Linked DNA regions of Neurospora crassa OR74A. The protein of the gene in region 2 interacts with the protein of the main gene of each other region in a pairwise test. Links are inferred from orthologs where the notes say so. Each region holds a gene or a part of one and is shown on either strand. Other genes may lie near its edges.

What was found. The genes of interacting proteins can lie anywhere in the genome.
Region 1: the proteins of NCU03485 (region 2) and NCU02405 interact in binary tests that used the Saccharomyces cerevisiae proteins (3 or more experiments, as listed by UniProt). The link is inferred for Neurospora crassa OR74A from reciprocal best matches to the Saccharomyces cerevisiae genes SEC65 and SRP14.

The regions. Positions count from the first base shown.
Region 1 is NC_026507.1:2,611,009-2,615,758, forward strand, and holds NCU02405 (hypothetical protein), read left to right. Parts: upstream 1-2,746; 5' UTR 2,747-2,900; coding exon 2,901-2,924; intron 2,925-3,006; coding exon 3,007-3,085; intron 3,086-3,257; coding exon 3,258-3,589; 3' UTR 3,590-4,189; downstream 4,190-4,750. Other genes in the region: NCU02406 (nuclear protein), read right to left, coding at 1-2,316, 2,406-2,475. UniProt on the Saccharomyces cerevisiae protein: Component of the signal recognition particle (SRP) complex, a ribonucleoprotein complex that mediates the cotranslational targeting of secretory and membrane proteins to the endoplasmic reticulum (ER).
Region 2 is NC_026502.1:522,583-529,023, reverse strand, and holds NCU03485 (signal recognition particle sec65 subunit), read right to left. Parts: upstream 3,765-6,441; 5' UTR 3,554-3,764; coding exon 2,453-3,553; 3' UTR 2,189-2,452; downstream 1-2,188. Other genes in the region: NCU03484 (hypothetical protein), read right to left, coding at 1-264; NCU03486 (hypothetical protein), read right to left, coding at 4,455-4,568, 4,624-5,363, 5,415-5,700, 5,759-5,806, 5,860-6,048, 6,147-6,236. UniProt on the Saccharomyces cerevisiae protein: Signal-recognition-particle (SRP) assembly has a crucial role in targeting secretory proteins to the rough endoplasmic reticulum (ER) membrane.

The sequences.
Region 1 (4,750 bases), on a different chromosome or scaffold from region 2:
GCCGCCGCATGTCCATCGCATCTACATCCTCCTCATCCTCCGCGTCATCGCCAAAAACTGACTCTCCGAGACGCCTGAATAGCTTCCAGAGCGCGTCTTGGAACGACCACCGGATTTTGCGATCCCCGCAAAGCTTCTTGGCCACCAAGGTGTAGTATGGGTTGTAGACCTGCTCTGCGCCGGCACACTGGATGACCACGTATGGAATCTCTCTCTGTCGCTCCTTGTTCAGGCGCAACTTGAGGATGCGGTAGTAGGCATCTTCGTAGTCCGTGGCGGACATTATCGACACAAAGATGGACCGGCGCACGTCCGTGTTCATCTGGTTTTCTCTGGCAAGTTCTCCGAGGTCAGGCATGTCCTCGACATCCTCCAAGACAAAGCTTTCGTCGTCCGAGTCAACGCTATCCTGTATGACACCGTCCTGGGTCAATGGCTTCTTGTCACTGTCCTTATCTCTGCCTGCCCAGCTAGCGCCTACAAGCCACCATTTGCCCTTCTTGTCGGCATCGCGTATATCGGCAAGGGTCATTCGCAAGGGCTCGGCCGTCTTGATGGTTTTCAAGGTGCCCAAAAGCTTCTTCATCTTGGTTGTGTGCTCCGTGAGAACGGCGGAAGCGCCTAAACCCGTCTTCATCTTGTTGTTTTTCAGGTCGTTGATGGTCTCAATCATGAATTTAGTTCTGACGCTGAGGTTCTTCTCTCCGATCTTGGCAACAGCCGGGCGGATAAGGGTAACAATGTCCTTGACAGACATGGGGTCATCTTGTCGGAGGGCTGGGCCAGCAATGCGCACAATTCTGAGCAAAAGTTCCGCGTTCAGCTCCGAAAGATCACCCAAAAGGATTCGAATGAAGTCGAAGAGCAAGTTAGGGCCCACGAGTTGAAAGTTATAGAGTTCGGATAGGAAAGTGATGAGGTTGGATGTCTGTTTCGGCACGTCTGGCCGCTCCTTTGCAGCCTCTTTGGCCTCTTCATAATGCCTATCAAATCGCTCGATCACTTCTTGAATTAACTGTGCGCCAAAGTCCATGCCAATCACCTTGAAGATACCCGTAGCGAAACCCGCGGTAAGCACGAGCAACGTATCAGGCAGCGTCGTTGGCTCGCACACCTGAATGAGTAGGAGATCGACAATGTTCGACGTAAGATGTTGTCGCGGGTTGTCGCGGTAAAGCTTTTCAAAGTCCATAATGATGGATAAAAGATTAGACTCTGTCATCCTGTTGATGAGACCTTGTGTTTGACGGCGAATGTGGGCCACCAACTCCGCTTCTGAGCCCGCCTCCTGTCGCTTCGATGGTGGCACGTATTTCACTACAGTCCGCCCAGTTGTAGGCGCAACATATGGGTTTTCGCGGACCCGTTCTGGCGGCTTTTGTAGCGTTTCTTCGTCGTTGTCGGATTCGTCGTCGTCGCCGTCGTCCTCGTCGTCGTCCTCGTCGTCGTCCTCGTCAAATCCTCCAAAATCCCCCTCATCCTCGCCCAAGATGCTGTCTTCTTCTCCATCTTCATCAGAATCGCCTTCGACCATGTCTTCGTCTTGGTCAACGTCGTTGTCTTCGTCCGAGTTCAATCCCTCTAAGAGATCGTCCAAGCCATCGTCCTCTTCGTCCAGTTCGGAGACTTCATTTTCTTCCTCGTCTAGTTCGAATTCCTTCGTCTTCTTGGCCTCTTCCGCTTTCCTCCTTTTCGCCGCAAGCCACTCATCCGCTTCGGACTTCCGCTTCCTTTTCTCGGCTGTTTCGTCGTCTACGCCAGGAAGGCCTTCTAGTAGATCAAGAAGACCATCCTCCTGGAAGGACTTGGGAAGCGATTTGCGTCCCTTGATGCCGAGCTTCTTTTCGAGGTCTGCGATCTCCTTGTCGTCTTGCGCCAATCGTTCCATGACAGTTTTTGAGATTTTGGGCTGCGACTTCGATATGGTTTGTGTTGGGACATCACTTTCCTCTTCATCGTCCACGTCTTCGCCGTCTTTGTCGTCTTCTTCGTCGAGGTCTAGCTCATCGTCCTCGTCCTCGTCAAGATCGATATCGCCCTCGTCATCGAAATCCTCATCATCGTCCTCTTCGAGGGCAACATCTTCATCCTCATCCTCCAATGATCGTTTCTTCCCGTTCTTCAAGATGGGCTTGGGTTCCTTTGCTTCCTTTGACGATGCGGCATCGACCTTCTTCTGTGGTTTTGGGGCTGTAGCGCGCTCGGTATGGTAACTTCTTGTGGACGAGGTGCGGTGAATCCTTTTCTGTGTTCTCTCTGCTTTACGGCGATCCTTTCTAGACTGAAATTGATTCTTGCGACCTCCGTGAGATTGTCCTGCAAGAGTTAGGATTTCGTCGGAGAACCCTGATTGCCAGGCAGGAATGACAATGGCTGTATGGGCGCATGAACGGAGGCACGCTCACCTTCTACGCCGAGCTCCTTCAGGAGGTTGTCAGGCAATTTTGGAGCCTTTATCCTCATGGAGGGTGCCATGTTGTAATATGCGCGTGCGGAGGTGTAGATGTGATTGATTGGCACGACCTCCAAACTTTGCAAGGCTCTCTCGTCCGTCGCTGCATGGAAGAGCGCGGGATCGGGACCTTGCTATCGTTATCAGATAGTTTTTTTGGTTATCGGTCGGTGCAGGGTTCCAGGCATGTCGACTGCGGGGCCAAGAGCGCCAAGAGATGAAGCGGGTCCTCCGCTGCTTGGGACCCCACCCGGCTGGTTTTACGCTGGGGAAGCTCACTCCTACCAGACAGACGGGAGCTGCCCGGCCAACAGCAGTGGGGAAAGCTGCCACTCTCGTTGACTTTCATCAATCATTCTAGGTTGCCTTCACATTCACTCCTCAGCCGAATTGTTGTCTTGCCTTTTGCAAACGAGCATAAGAAGAAGACGAAAAACAACTGGATATCATGGGTCATTTAACTCACGATGAGGTAATGTTATATGTGACTGGCTGCTGTGATCCCGTCCTGAGGAGACCATGCTAATCTGACTTCAACCGACTATGGTATATAGTTCTTCTCCAAGCTCACCAATCTGTTCGAGTATAGGAAGAACCAAGATCACGGAACCATCAACCTAGTACAAAAGAGGCGTACGTGTACCTACACCAACCCAGCGCAGACAGGAAACTTCACACTCGGCTTTGCTATCGTCACGACAATCCTCCCAATTTCCGCTGTTTTCCAAGCTTAAACTCCATCTCCATCCACCCACGATGAGCTAAGTAGAGTGAAGCTCCGTCACCAAAGCTAACCCTCCCACAGTATCCTACAGCACCCCTTCCCAATCCACGGATACCGACCCTCTCACTGACCTCAACCCTGCCACCCCGCTCCCGGTTCTCATCCGCGCCACCAACGCCAAGGGCAAGGACAAGAGGACAGAAAAGGTCAAGCTGTCCACCATTGTCGAGCCAGCCGACCTGGAAACCTTCTACGGGAGGTACGCCGATGTTTGCAAGAAGGGCATGGGGGCATTGAAGCCGAGAGACAGGACCAAGAGGAAAAAGCAGTCGAGGAAGAAGAAGACAGGTCCTGCAGCCGCTGGAGGTCCTGGTGTTGGTGCTGGTGGGACTTCTATGATGGCTATTCCCTGATTGGACTCGAAACAAGCGTTGCAAATTACACCATTGCTGTTTCTGTCTTCTTGTGTGTACATGACCTAACGGAAGGAGGGATCTGTATGAGGGTACCGTATTAAATTTTGTAATATTCCCAAGCTTTGGTGGAATACCCTGGTTCAAGTCAGTGGGTACGCATGGTAAGGAAAGCGTTGGTGAGTAGTACCGCATCATAGCCTTCAATCTGCCACTCTCGGTTACCCTACCTCTCGACTCACCTGCTCGTAGTTGGTATTACCCTTCAAGACGACTAGCGAGAAAGGAAGGGAAGAAAAAAAAGGTGTTGGGAGAGGGGGGGAAGGGGGAATATGAAAAGCTCAGCTGCCTATCTAGCGTGCAGCGCACATCTACTATCTACGTGAGCTACTGGAGTTAATGAAAGGTGCGAACTAAAGGGATCATATGCCCGTTCTGGAGAATGTTCAGTCCTGCCGCAGGAAGTATGCGGCCCTTCGTGGAAATGGAGATGGAAGGGAAAGAGAGGAACATGAAATGAATGAGTGACGGAAGAAGCGTGAGAGAACGACTGCTGTGCCTCAACAGAGAAGCTGTTGAACGAAGGGGAGAGTAAGAGCGAGCCGAATTGATAACGTTCATATGCTTGTTCCAAATCTGCTGGCTGGCCTTCACGATCCTGTCTTGGGTGTGAACTTGATCACCGGGAGAGCGTGTATCTCCAGGTGACTCGATCTAAACGGTCCTATTAGCAAAGTTAACATTTCTCATTTGGTAAAATAACAAGACTGCCCGGGTGGAGCAGCAGCTACCGTACCCTGACGTCAAGCGTAGATATATTTGAGCCGCACTTATGAGCATCAGCTGAAGGGCAACCGGCTCACCCGTTCTCCACTCGATTCACCATTATGAAACACCACGAACACGTCACATCACGTTGGCTTCACCTTGATTGGCTTTGATTCAGGTTACCAAGAGTCGCAGTTCCAATGTTCGACCTTAATCCTAAGGTCAACCGAGATAATTGCATGTTCTCTTCAAGAGTACAGTCTAAAGGTGGGGGGATGTAGGTGAAACAAGATCAACTGTCCATTTTGAGGGTCCGAACCGTAAACAACTTGCTGAAAGAAAGGCCGAAGAGCCAAATGTCAGCCGCAAAAAGAGCAACAAGTTTCAGTGGGA
Region 2 (6,441 bases):
CCATCCATTATAGTATTCCCCGGAGCACAAAAGTTTGCATAAACCACAGCCATTTTTTGCTTCAGTTTGTATGTCCTTGAATGGCTGTAGCTCGACAGAAATCTCCTCGTCTTTCTCAAGTTCCCGGCTCCAGAACCAGGACGGGATTTTAGAGCAGACACCGCAGAGCTTCGTGACCGCTCTGGAATTTGAAGAAATGAAAATGGTCTGAGTGTTGGAGTTTCCCGAGGATTCATCCTCTGGGGGCGCTGGTTCGGTTGACATTATCAGAATGGAATCTCCGAGGAGGAGATCAACCTCAAGAAAGGTTTACAGGACAAAGTTATGTTGCCAGAACGGCTTCCGAAGAGTCTTGAGGGGGACGTCTGGACAGTGTTGTTGTCGGGTGTCAGCAGAACTAAGTCGCCTTGAGAGTTTCGAAGGGATGGTCGAGCTGGAGGTTGGGCAAGATGTGGCTACGAAAAGCATACCGATAAAAAGCCATCCAATGAAGATGGCAATCAGAACAGTCGAGGCAACTACTGATTTGCAACCTATCATCACGCGGCAGTCACTACCCGCGCCACAAGATAGTGTGGTTGTATTTCGTCGTGTTCGACCAATGGTGTTTCTCGCCCGTAGCTGGCGGGCAGCTCTTGCCAGTTATGACTCTGAGCTTTTGACACAGCTCCTTCTCTTCCAGATTGCTTCCACAGCCAATCATTGGTCAACCATCATCCAGTCCCTCCCTATCCGTCACCAGCCAGCCTGACTACCGAAACCTCCAGACACATCAACCCCATTACTCTGATCACTTCTGTCGGCGCATTTCCGATCTTCAAACGGTATTCAGGACAGCAAAATCCCCGCCTTCCTCTCGATCTCATCACTCTGCAACTACTCACATCTATACCATAAACCCTCGCTCACCCAACAACTCCCCGACCTTTTCCAACAGCACCAGAACCTCAGCACGCTCATCCCCATCCATATCGTCAACATCAACCCCATCCCCATCTTCATCCTCTCATCCACCCACCTCCCACTTCCAATTCCCCTTACCAACTCCCTCTATCTCCCCCCTCTTAACCCTTACTTCCCTCTCCCTGCTATAACCTCCATCCCTGGCATGAATCCCCCCCCCCCCCCCCCCCCCCGCCTCCTCCAAATCCCTCCTATCCCCCGTCCCATCAAACTGCTTTACAAGCGCCACGCCCATATTCGCTAATGCCACCGCCGCCTCTCTCTGAGCCTGAGCCTGTGCCTGTGCATGTGCCTCTGTCTGAGCTTCGGGATAAGCAGCCAAACGACACTCAACCTTATCATCTCCAGACGCTGCGGACACTGCAATAAGCGAAGAAGCTAGGACTAGAGCTACCTGCCCTAGCACAGTTACTCGTTCCAACACGTTGGTATCTCCTTTGTCTTTGCTTTTTGATTGAAACTGGGAGTATGTCTGGAGTAGGGAGGTGGTTTGTTCGCTGAGGGAGGTCAAGAGGGTGAGATGGTCCTGATCGCGATCCTGCTTCTGTCCTGATGTTGATGTTGCACAGGTTCGAGTTGATCTTTTTTTCTCAGCATAGTGGCTAAAGTTGACCTCAGCCTCCGCTCCCGGCACAACACCCTCACGCCGCTTTTGAGAAAAGGCGTCTTCTTTCGAGGGAAAAGGAGTTCTGGGAGTCGCCGCCGCCGCATTATCTTTGAGGTGAATCTCAGTCTCGGATACCACGAATAACCTCTTCAAATACTCAGCTGTTGATAACAGAGTGGCGTGGTAGAGACTGTATTCGTTGATGGGTTCAGGATTCTGATGGACTGAGTGAGGCGCATGAGGGAAGGACTAACCAAGGTGATTAGCGATGGGGAAGTACCTAGACTCCCACGTAGGATAAAGAGGAAAGGTGTTGGTTATTGGCGGAACTTACCATCGCTCATTGTGCTCAAAGACAACCAGGAAGTGTTCGGTTGTTGTAGTTTATAGTAGGCTCCCCGACTACCACCCTAAAGTTCGACGAATAAAAAAAGTAACAGGTAACTGTGAAGTTATTGCAAACACAGAAGCCGAAAAAAGCCCCGTGAGAGCAGATCCCGTTTCGAGTAAACAAAAACGAAAACTTAAAAAAAAAATTTGGGGTAACAAGAGCATCATGATCCTTCTTATCATATACCTCTACCTCTCTAAAAAAAAAAAAAAAAAAAAAAAAAAAAACCTCGACGGGCGGTAGCGGACTGATTTACCTAGGCTGTTAGCTGGTCTCATCTATTTTGTTTCGGACGAGCCGGCCACGGGGCTTCGTTAAAAAGTACATGGTATTATCGTTTTGGTAAACTGCTTTCTGCGGTCTACGCTGTTTGTTGTTCATTATGTTATACGGCAAAGCGGGAAAAAGGCTTGCTGGCAGGTTGAATCTTTCTCAATCATGAGCATCGCTCTCAACTCCTTTCACATCTTCCCACCCCTAGACTTAGCACCCTATTTCTTTCCCTTCCCCTTCTTCTTCCCCGCCGCCTCACTTCCACTCGCCCCCGGACTCGTCGCACCACTACCTCCCATCCCACCCATCCCCCCCAACATATTCGCCAACCCACCCAATCCTCCCATCCCTCCCATCCCCTGCAACAAGCTCGCCATATCCGGCATCCCACCCGCTCCCGCTCCCGCTCCTCCTCCTGGCATCCCCGGCATGCCCGGCATCCCACCAGGTCCCATCTCCTTCATCATATCCTTCAAGAAATTCTCACTGACCCCACCGCCCGTCATCGCCGGACTATAGTACGGCAACAGCTCACTCATCTTCCACCCCCTCGGCACCGCCGGCCTCGGCCACTTCTTGCCTTCCTCCAGCATTTCTCTAGGCGGGGGTCCCGCGCCCCTCACCACGACCCTCAGCGCCGGACTCTCGTCCGTCGTCGGGTGTTTCTTCAGATGCTCCGCCACGAGGATATACAAGTGGTGTTTATTCTTCAGCTTCCCATTCTCGCCATGCAGACGGATGAATTCCTTCAGGTTGACTTTGACGCGGCCCGGGTTGGCCCAGTCCTTGGGGTGCAGCTTGCCTGCCTCGAGAACGACGGAGAGGCGGAGCTGCGCGCAGGCGTTGACGATCTCGGTCGCTAGCGGGTTGGGAACAGCTAGCTCCTTGGATACGCGCCGGCCTTCGGCGCGCGAGCGCGTGGCGTCAAAGTAGCATGGGTACAGGCACTGGAAGGATTTGTAGGCCGAGTCGTCGGTGGTGGTTTGCATCTGGGGGTAGCCGGGGGGTTGGGTGTACTGTCGTTGTTGTTGTTGTTGGGAATATTGTGGGGGAGGGACTTGTCGTTGTTGAGCGGCGGCGGCAGCCTGGGCGGCCTGGGCAGCTTGGAATTGTTGGTGTTGCTTTTCGGCCTGCGCGCGGTGGGCGGCGGAGAGAGGGGTGAAGGAGGGCCCGGGCATGACTTTGGAGGCGTAGGCGGGAGGAGCGTCGCGCTGGACGAGAATGTCGGATTCGGCAAAGTCGTCAATGTCGCCCTCGGAGGGGTCGGACATTTCAAGGTCGCTGTCCTCGACTTCTTCTACCCGCGGGTGGGAAGGCATCTTGGCGGTTGTCTGTGACTGAGACTGTAGCTCTTGATCTTTGCTCGGTGGGTAGGTATTTTGGTGAAGTCAAACTCTGAATGCGCAAATACAGCTGAGGCGACTAGGTCTGTGATAATTATGGCAGGGGGGGGGGGAAGTGGAAGGTCGCGGTGGTTGAACAGATGAACCAACAGCTCCCCGTGAGTTGTTGGAGAAATGTGGGGTGGCCCGTCCAAGCTGTCGATGTGGTTTCAATTGAGTTGAGTGGGGTAGCCGGCCGGGGGAAATAAAGTGGGGTCCGTGCACACGGCTCCGGGCCGGCAACGAATTAGCGGCACCAACCGCCAACCTCGAGTCAACTTCACCAAGCATTTTCATGTCCAGGTGATACTTTGCGTTCTTATGAATATGCTTTTTCCAAAATAAATCTTGTGTTGATGCGTGTCATCTGTACCTCGCCATGCATTTAGTCGTTCTAATATTTGGCACATTTCGGAAGTGATCTCGTCCAAGTGTACTTGGAACAGGTATGTACTAAGCTAACAAACAAACTAGATTGTATTTTGTACGTCATGTTCCTCCGCTGTTTAGCATCCGCAAACAACAAACAACTCAAACTATCTCCTAAATTCTGACTCCTGATTTGAATAGACTAGAGAAATGATCAGTTCGCAAAAGGCAACAGCCACAGCAAGCCCCTGAGCGTGAAATCCGTTTCTTGGTGCCTTTCATCTCAGATGCCTCCTATTCGGACAGCTCGCCATCGCATTCCCTTCGCTGAGAAAGCCTCCTCTTCGATAAATTTCTTTTCCCAAACTCTTTTTGAGGAAACCCCCTTCATCAGATGGGTCTTCACTCGCAGACGCCCATCTTCTCCACACCGCGTCAGAGCTCCCCTTAAAGCTACGTCGTTCCCTGTTTAAGAGAAGTAGTCATAGGTCTTTGTGCTTCTGTACTTCGTGCCGGGCGGGTGATCGGCATCCTCAAATTTGCAATAAGGATGAGTGCAGACACCGTCCTTGACGTTGGGGCACTGTGATTACGGTCAGCACATAACCAGAACTCGAGGCATGATGAGTGAAACTTACGTGGTGTCCATAAATACAATCTTCGACATCGCAATCCTGGCCGCTGGTGCAAGGGTTCAAGCGGGCCAAGAAGGCAATAGCGTCAATCTCTTCTTTGCTAGGCTTATACTTGTGTTCGAAGCAGCAGGCGTCGCCCTTTGAACAGGGACCCCTTAGATAATGATTGTTGCAAAGTTTGTTGTTGTCCTTCCTTTTCTTGATACTTTCCAGAGCAGCTGGTGAGACCTTGATGGGCGGGTCCAAGCCACGAGGACCGGGGTTCCAGGCCGGCTGCTTCGGGGTGGCCGAGGCACGAGCATTTGCGTTCACAGGTCTAGGCTGGATAGGAAGCGTGATCTTGGGCGGAGGGCTCGCGTTTCCAATAGCTCCGGCATAACTAGCAGTTGCGTTCGCGGGCGTAGACGTGGTGGAGCTGGTGGGAGTCGGAAGATTGCCGTTGCTGACAGTAGGAGTGGTGGTAGATGAAGATGACGTGGTAATCAAGGGAGAAGTGTTGGTGCGCAGTGATGTCTTGTCTACCAGCTTCTCCGATCGGAAGATTTCGTCGTTGAAGTTCAAAATGTTGACGCCGGTGGACACGAGTTCGCGAACAGTCGGAATACCTTCGACGACGGTAACGCGGCGCTTCTTGGTCTCATCTTGGAAGAGCTCATCCAGGAATGGAGCATAGCCGGCATCATGCGAAATGCCGAGAAGAAGCTGCTTACAGTTGTAGTTGCGCAAATTCCATTTCGCCGTTTCTGTTTTCGGTTAGTATCTATCAAGTGTGCTACTGGGACAGATTAACCCACCTTTAATCTTGTTATCCGCGCGCTCCTTTCCGTGGCCAACATCAACAAAGTCAAAGGTTGCCTTTCCTTGAGTAAAGCCAATGGTGAACTCCTTGAGAGTTTCCTCAGCCTCCAGGCATCCGTTGCGTCTCATGGCTTTGGCCAAGCCACCGAGGTTGGCATAGACTTTTGCAATGACTTCCATATTGCCCGCAAAATCGCCGCATTGCTCAAGAATAGCGCTTCGCAAAGCATAAGCCGCCTTTTTACCGCCTTCGACTCCTTGTCTGATTAAGGCTTCTTTAAACTGCAACAAGGAGTTAGACAGCTGCAGGGGGGAAGCAGGAGACCAGGGGTGGACATACCAAACAGCAGTCACCGTCTATGAGGACGACCACAAAAGGATTGTTGTTCTGCAGATTCTGTTTCAATAACTGTCTCGACCAGACTGGCCAGTGACCCTCACCTTCAAGTGATGATTATCTTGAGCAAGGTCCCTGTTACGAGACTCGGTATTCGCCACCTGCTGCTGGAGGTCTCTTCTAGAACGAGTGGCATCCTCAAGATCGAGCTGGGCATCTGTAAGCTGTCTCCTAAGGGCTCTGTTTTCGTCGCGGAGAGCATCCTCAACGTTTTTGGAGTAAAGGAGGAGGTCCTGCACAGATACATGTCAGCCTAATGAATAGAGACTGGCATGAGTTGAGAAAGGTCCATCTTTCAACCTCTCAGTCACTCTGTTGGACGGAAGCCCACCTCTATCAGCCTCGCGCTGCTGTCGTTAAAAAGACTAAGGGTTTGAAACCTTTGGTAGAAGGCCATAAGGTCGCTTTCGGGGGCAGCCATGATGATGGTTAACCCGGTGGGTTTTAATATTTTGATGTTTAAACTTGAGGCTTTGCAGGCAGCGAAGTGAGCTGGTCTGTGGTAGCCGATATGGCACTTGACAAGTCAAAACAATGGTAGCCAAAGAAAACAACCTTGCTTAATGATGGAGAAGACAGAGCTATCCTCAAGCTGTCTGCTTAGGGCGTTCTGACAATAGTAGGTT